2 linked regions of the Mus musculus genome follow. The protein of the gene in region 2 interacts with the protein of the main gene of each other region in a pairwise test. Links are inferred from orthologs where the notes say so. Each region holds a gene or a part of one and is shown on either strand. Other genes may lie near its edges.

Region 1 (3,653 bases), on a different chromosome or scaffold from region 2:
AGCCCTTGGGGACTGCATGAACTCAAGCTATTGAGTCTTACTCGTTTCTCGGGACATGATTATCAGGTAATCACCTGGCAAATCCTTAGTCCTCCCCGTCACAGCTGATACAAGTAGTGTCTTGTCTGTTAAAAACGGGCTCTGGCATGTGAGGGGCTTCAGGCAATAAGACAGCAATGCATGCCTACTGCAACTCACATGAGGCTCCCGTGCAGCAGACCCGAGCGTAGGCTGCAGCTTAGAGTCTTTCATCACAACGCTGCCTGGTTGGGAAAGGCCCTCACTGATTTACAGATGTTGTGAGTCTCAATGTAATCAACCAGCAGTGTAGAGAACACAAGAGTGTCTGGGGGAAGAAACTTGAATTCTTGTGACCACAGAGTTCTGTCCTCCATAGCAGTACAGCAGGGTGATGACTGACATAGCCTACCCAACACCCCTTAATCAGACTTAAAGCTCTCCATCTTTAAAACCCACCTGGTCTTCTTCTCCACCTCCTTCTTCATCATAGTAATACACATTGTCCCGGGTATCATCATCTGGTGGCAGCAGGGGCTCTTTGACCACCGTTCTCCTCCGTAGAAACAGTAGGAGCAGCAGGATCAGAACTGGAGACAAGGAAGGAAGGCAGGGAAGAGTGATGAGCCACACGCAGGAAAGACCAGGGGAAGCCACTGTCCTGGAATGCCACAGCCTCACCCCACCAGGCAGGTGGGTAGCCACCTGAACGAGGACTATCTCATGTCCAGCCAAATGAGATCATTTCTCAAAAAACAATATAACAAAAATGATAAACAAGTTTGACATCTGGCTCCTGATACCACTTCTGCTTCCAATGTCTAATAAGAGAATTTCCCCAGCTTTATCTACTGCCCCCGACAAAAAAAGTCAAGGTATATCCTCAATAAGCAAAACCCCGTATCTTTGATCATTGAAATCCTCATGGCATTTTACCAAGCCCAGGACAGGTAAAATCAGAACAAAGACCACGGACAAAAATGACAGATTCCCTCCAAGCATCTCCACTCTCCTTCATCTTTTCAGCCATGGGCACCATCCGCTGCTCACTCAGCCCTCCATCCAATACCACTGTCTCCCAAGCATGCAATGAAAATGGGCTCATCATCACCCAGCTAAGAGCAGGAGCTTCCAGGATGCCTTGTCATTTGTCATGGCTACACTTGGGCCAATGAGATGTGAGTGCTGCTGACATCTACAACCTGCAGGTAGGCAGCCTCTACTTCCCCTCTCATCTGCCCTCCAAGATGGAATGCGGAGGTGATGGTAGCTGCCAGCCTTGCCTGTGCTAACGAGTACAGCGAGCTATACGTAAACCTGGCTCTGCCAGCACAGCATTCCTTGGGGACTGGTTTAAAATGAAGCATCTGAGGAGCCTCATCAGGGATCCTGGGTCTGAAGCCCCACTTACTGAAGGACATGCACTCAATCTAGGCGAGCAGAGACAGACAGAACAGAAGGATCCTGCGCCCCCTGTACCCCAAATAAAAGCTCCTCCTAGGAGATGGCCCTTCCTGGTTTTAGAGGTCACGGGCTGAAGCACCTGCCACCTGAACTTACTCAGCAGGGCGAGGATCCCTCCAAGGATTCCGAGGATGGCAGGAACTTGCAATCCTGCTGCCACGATTCCCGCCTTCATGCAGTTGTTGACCGTCCCTTCACAGTCACACACATGGACGTCCAACGTGGTCACCTGGTCTTTGTTCTGGTTATCCGCGAGCTTGAGATGGATTTTGTATTCGCCAATCTCTAAGTCCTTTCTTGGTTGCAAAATGAGAGATTCTTGAGCTAGGGAAAGGAAAACAGGAACGATGAGACCGGGAGAGGGGGCAGAGCAAAAAGCTCAGTGAATCAAAGGGTTTAGGGAACCAGAGACATCGAGTGCTGGAGGAATACCGCGCAATACGAGGAAAAGGAGCGTGCATGAATGCAGAAGGAACCGGGGGCAGATATCAAAGGGAAGGGTGAAGCGGGACAGGCAGAGCCTCTCTAAAGACAGCGAGCCTTCACACCTGCGTCATTATACTCAATGGTCCAGTTGACGCTGGCCCCATGGGTTAGCTCAGCAGTAAAGGGGGACGTGTTGGGGGGAAGGTCTGGATCCAAGATGGTGATGATATGAGGCTGTGGGTTCCTCTGGCAGAACTGCATGTTTCGAGGTTCTGGGATGGGAGCGTTGTCATTGACGTCTAACAGGACCAGGAGAAGAGTGCCCGTGCCAGTGGCAATGGGTGAACCTATGAGAAAACATAAAAGGTGTCACAGATTAAGGATCGTGTCACCTTCCAGGAGGTCAAATTCTTAGTTTGTCCACGACCCCTCAGCAGGTTCCACACTAACCACAGGCGCTCTGTCCTTGTCTCGGCTTTCTGACAAGCATGCTCTGTATACAATGTCTTAGATTATTTCTCATTTCAAAGGCAGCTTTCTTCTTCTTCTCTTTCTAGTACATTACTAATACAGTCCAATTCGGGAGTTTATTTTTTTTGTTGTTGTCATTTGTTTGTTGAGACAAAGCCTTATCCCACCCCAACCTCCTACAGAAGCCTGGCTCCGGCAGATCTTATTAGGAGGTTAGGAAAAGCAGAATGCAGTAGAATTTGTTGGAATCTTAGAAACACACAGGATGGGGGGGGGGGGCACATCAATTTTGAGGTCTTTTGGGCTACATCGTGAGTTCAAAACTAGCCTGGGTTATATAGGAAACAATGTCTAAAACAAAAACAAACAAAACAAACAAACTAAACTATACTAAAAAATCTTGGGGTATCCACGTGGTATATATATATATATAAGTAGTAGAGAACACACGTCTATGTTTAGCACTGTGGTCAGTTCCCATTTCCATACAGAAAGGAAAAGGGGCCGAAGAGACAGCTCAGTGACTAAGAATGCTTAGGGTTCGGTTTTTAGCACTTTCATAGTAGCTCCTGACTGTCTGTAACTCCAGTTCCAGGTGACCATCCTCTGTGGATACCAGGAACACAGGCAGGCTATAATACCCATACACATTGTGGTAGTATGTTTGGCCCCCACAGGCTCGTGTGTTTGAATGCTTGCCCTACAAAAAGGGGCACTATTAGGAGGTGTGGCCTTAATCAAGTTGGTGTGGTCTTGTGGGAGGATGTGTGTAACTGTGGGGGTAAGCTTTGAGGTCTCCCGTGCCTAGGCTCCACCAGCCTAGGCTCAATCAGAGCCTCTTCCTAGCTGCCCTTGGATCAAGATGTACAACTCTCAGCTCCTTCTCTAGCACCACTGCCCACATGCCTCTCGGCTTCCTGCCGTGACGATAATGGACTAAACCTCTGAAACTTTTAGCCAGCCCCAAATGTTTTCCTTTGTAAGAGTTGCCTTGGGGGCTGGAGAGATGGCTTAGTGGTTAAGAGCACTGACAACTCTTCTAGAGGTCCTGAGTTCAATTCCCAGCAACCACATGGTGGCTCACAACCATCTGTAATGGGATCTGATGGCCTTTTCTGGTGCATCTGAAGACAGCTACAGTATAGTTATATATATAAAATAAATAATAAATAAATCTTTAAAAAAAAAAAAAAAAAGAGTTGCCTTGGTTATGGTGTCTCTTCACAGAAATGAAACCCTAAGAAACACATAAAATTCAAAATAAAAGAGAGAAA
Region 2 (3,653 bases):
GGCTCAAATCAGCCAAAATATGAGGTGATACTCGCAAAAGAGGAACAGATTGGGTCCAGGTTGGACTGCTCAAATGCAATGATGATTTGGAGTTGGGTGAGAGTCACCACTTATCCCCATGTAGTTCAGTCATTGTATCATAATGGAAGAGGCTCCAATGCACAAAAGGATTTATTATCAAGAACATGCTTCACAGACTGTGTTGGCTCAGCACAGTGGCATCTGGACCTATTGGAGAGATTTTGACCATGTAAGAACAAACTTTGGCCTGATACCTGGATAACAAGGTAGCGCTGTGGGTCTCGGGCCATTTTGGAGAATTCAAGAATCAACTCTCGGAACTTTGGGCGGCTATCAGCATCTATCATCCAGCCTGAGAAAGGAAGGAAGCCAAAGCAAAGCAATTAGAACCCTGGAAGAAATGACAAGGAGGGCATTGCTTTAAGTGATGCTGTGATCTTGCTAGGCAAATGGATAATGAAGGCACATAATCTTTGGGAGAGGCTTGGCACATGAGATAACACTGATTAGTTCTTGAAGTACATGAGAAGTTATTGTAATACCTTGTGGATTCATTCCCAGCCCTATAGAACAGTTTTCAGTCAGAGTAACAATAACATATACGGTAATGGTTTTACGTTTGTCCTTCCTTAGTCATCATTCTTGCATTATGATCTTCAGTGACCACAGGGTTTTACTGTGGGCAATCACTGCTGAACTACTCTGACTTTGGTATGCCTCTGTGCTTTCTTTGTCCTAATCCACAGCTTTCTAAGCTAGAAAATAGATTCAATTTACAGAAATGTCAAGGCCTTATTGCATTCTCCATTCAGTTACCATTCATGCAATTAACAAGGCTGAATCTGTGTATCATCAGTCAATCAATCAATCAATCAATCAACCAACCAACCAAGCAAACAAGCGATATATATCTGTCTATCTATCTACCATCTAACAATGTATCTATGCATCGATCAATGAATCGATGTATATGTGTATGCATGTATACATCCATCAATCTATGTATCAATTATTTACCAGTGCTGGGGACTGAACCTAGGGTGTCATAACTAGTATTTTCTGGGTAAAACTATATTTAGTAGTCACAGAGGTTCATTGCTTTACCAATGATCTAAAAATAGATCCAGCAATGGAGAGGATAAACTGTGCACTAGATACTTGTGCCTTTAGGGATTGGATTTATTTTTTCAACTGGTCATCAAGCTATTTTAGGCTAAACTGCTATGTGACCTTAGACAAATCATGCAACCTCTCTAGGCCTCAGCTTCCTCATCTGAAACCAAAGCAGTGAAAATAGATTAACTCCCTGGTCCAAAGTTCAGAGAATACATTGTTATTTATGATAAAGCAGCCTTGCTGGTTAGATTTCATCAACTGGAAATGAGCTAGAGACATCTGGGAAGAGAAAACTTTAGCTGAGAGAATGCTTCCAGTAGATTGGTCTGTGAGCAACATTCTGTTGATTAATGAGTTATGTGGGAGAGCCCAACCCACTGTGGGCGGTGCCATCCCTTGGCTCCTGTTTTTCTGTTGTCTAAGAAAGCAGGCTGAGTGAACCAGGAAGAGGAAGCCACAGGCAGAGTTCCTCCATCTTTGCTTCAGTTTCTGCCTCCAGCTTCCTGATTTGAGCTTTTTCCCTAGCATCCCTTGATGACAGACAGTAAGCTGTAAGCCAAAAAAAAGCCTTTCCTCCACAAGTTGCCTTTGGTCAGTGTTTTATCAGAGCAACAGAATGCAAACTAAGACCACTGCTCTGTCATATTCCTATGCTGTTTCTATGCCAATGCTATGACATGTGTACTATTACTTTCAGAGCACAATTACAGATTTGTGTGGAATACTAGCACTTATCAAAATGCACACTCCTGTCGGGATTAAGATGATTAACTGCTTTACTTCAGGAGGCCTTGCATAAATCCAGTTTGAAAGATTTAAGCCAAAGCAGAAACAAAGATTGTATCAAACTCCCATGGTTACTCATTGTTAGGCATTTTGAAACATTAAGTTTCTCTAGCAACAGGTCTCAAAATGTAATACAACTTTGTAAGTTCATTGAGCAACTCAGATCATAGAATATCTGGGAATAATGGCTTAGGAAAGACTTCAGTTTTAATTTATTTGCTTGCAAATTTGGGCAAATATGAGGTCAGGATGAGTCAAGCAAGTGATTCCTAAAGAATGCTTGCTGGAGGTGTTTATGATGTTTCTGGAACTGTGAGCCTGACTCGAAGACTGATGCTATTTCTTCGGGGAAATGAGGGCCTGGGCTATTTGTCTCAGAGCAATTACATCCTTCCAGGACCATCAACATGAGTGTGGATGCCCCCCCCCCCCCCAGTCACTCACACTTGACCATGATCATGTAGACATCGATGGTGCAGATAGGTGGCTGTGGAAGGCGCTCTCCTTTCTCTAGGATGGATGAGATGTCACTTGCTGGGATTCCATCATAAGGCTTGGACCCAAAGGTCATCAGTTCCCACACAGTGACACCTAGGCAGATAGAACAGGCAAAGAAAGTCATTGCATTGTGAGTTAATGCTTAACACACCACCTAATCCTTAGCCATTATTGTTAGTAAGTATTTTAAAACCTGTTTCTGTAGCCTTGAGCCACTGGTTTGAGGGGATTTACCTATCAAGTAAGATAATAGCATCTGTTTCATGGCATGGCTTCAAAGATGTAGTAAGATCTTATACAAAAAAGTTTAGCTAAATGTGAGGCATATAGTTGCTGACTGATAAGTGGAATAGTTATAACCTTAAAGACAAGGACAACTGTGGAGCCCGAGTTTGCTACAGAACAAGGTCTGCCTACGTGCACAGCTGTTCTGAGAACCTTATACTCAAGGTAGTGCAAGCAAGGACCTTACAAAGCAAGGCTGTAAACTGCAGACCATTTGATACATAACACTCTTTGCTCTGTAGCTAATACAATCTGATGCATCTGCCTCTGTGAGGGAAAATGTTCAGGGCAACCTGAATTTGCGTTCCTTGGTGATGACCACCCATGTCTGTTTCAGAATCAATTATCCCTTTCCCCCTTTGGGGTGAGAGTTGTGTTTTATAATCACACTGTTTGCTAACTTTTCCCTGAACTGCCTGGGGGAAATTCAAGGACCAAGTGCCTGACACAGGAACCAAGGACTTTGCTAGTTAGGCCACAATAGGCTCAAGATAAGCGAAGGACAAGCAAGGGAGGCTTGGCTAGAGTGGTCATCCTGGGAAGGTTAAGACATAGTCCTGTGCATGGCTGTGCTGTATTTAGACTAGCTGGGCCCTGGTAAGGTGGTCTTCCTTGGGAACAAGCAGTAACTACCTTCTCATTCTTACTTCCTCCCCACAGTTATCCTCATGGATCCCCTTGCCGAGCTCCTCTCTTTGACACAGAGAGATTAAATCAAGCACCACATGAAACAACAGTCTTGGCCATTTCATAAGAAAACATTTCTCTATCAGAAATGCTTCCCCCATGAAACCTCCTTTGCTGTCTTCCTTTGGTTCACATCAAGTTCACAGCAGGAGCTTTTGTTTGTTTGACCTCTTCAGGCAGAAGCTTAGCTCGCATTTGGGTCCTCTTCCCCCCACGACCTTCCCTGCAGCATGTGTTCATGGCTGTCCCTAGTGATACTT

The links. The genes of interacting proteins can lie anywhere in the genome.
Region 1: the proteins of Egfr (region 2) and Cdh1 interact in binary tests that used the Homo sapiens proteins (3 or more experiments, as listed by UniProt). The link is inferred for Mus musculus from reciprocal best matches to the Homo sapiens genes EGFR and CDH1.

What each region holds. Positions count from the first base shown.
Region 1 is NC_000074.6:106,662,349-106,666,001, reverse strand, and holds part of Cdh1 (cadherin-1 preproprotein), read right to left. Parts: intron 2,256-3,653; coding exon 2,031-2,255; intron 1,807-2,030; coding exon 1,579-1,806; intron 609-1,578; coding exon 478-608; intron 1-477.
Region 2 is NC_000077.6:16,905,597-16,909,249, reverse strand, and holds part of Egfr (epidermal growth factor receptor isoform 1 precursor), read right to left. Parts: intron 2,515-3,653; coding exon 2,368-2,514; intron 374-2,367; coding exon 276-373; intron 1-275. UniProt on the Homo sapiens protein: Receptor tyrosine kinase binding ligands of the EGF family and activating several signaling cascades to convert extracellular cues into appropriate cellular responses.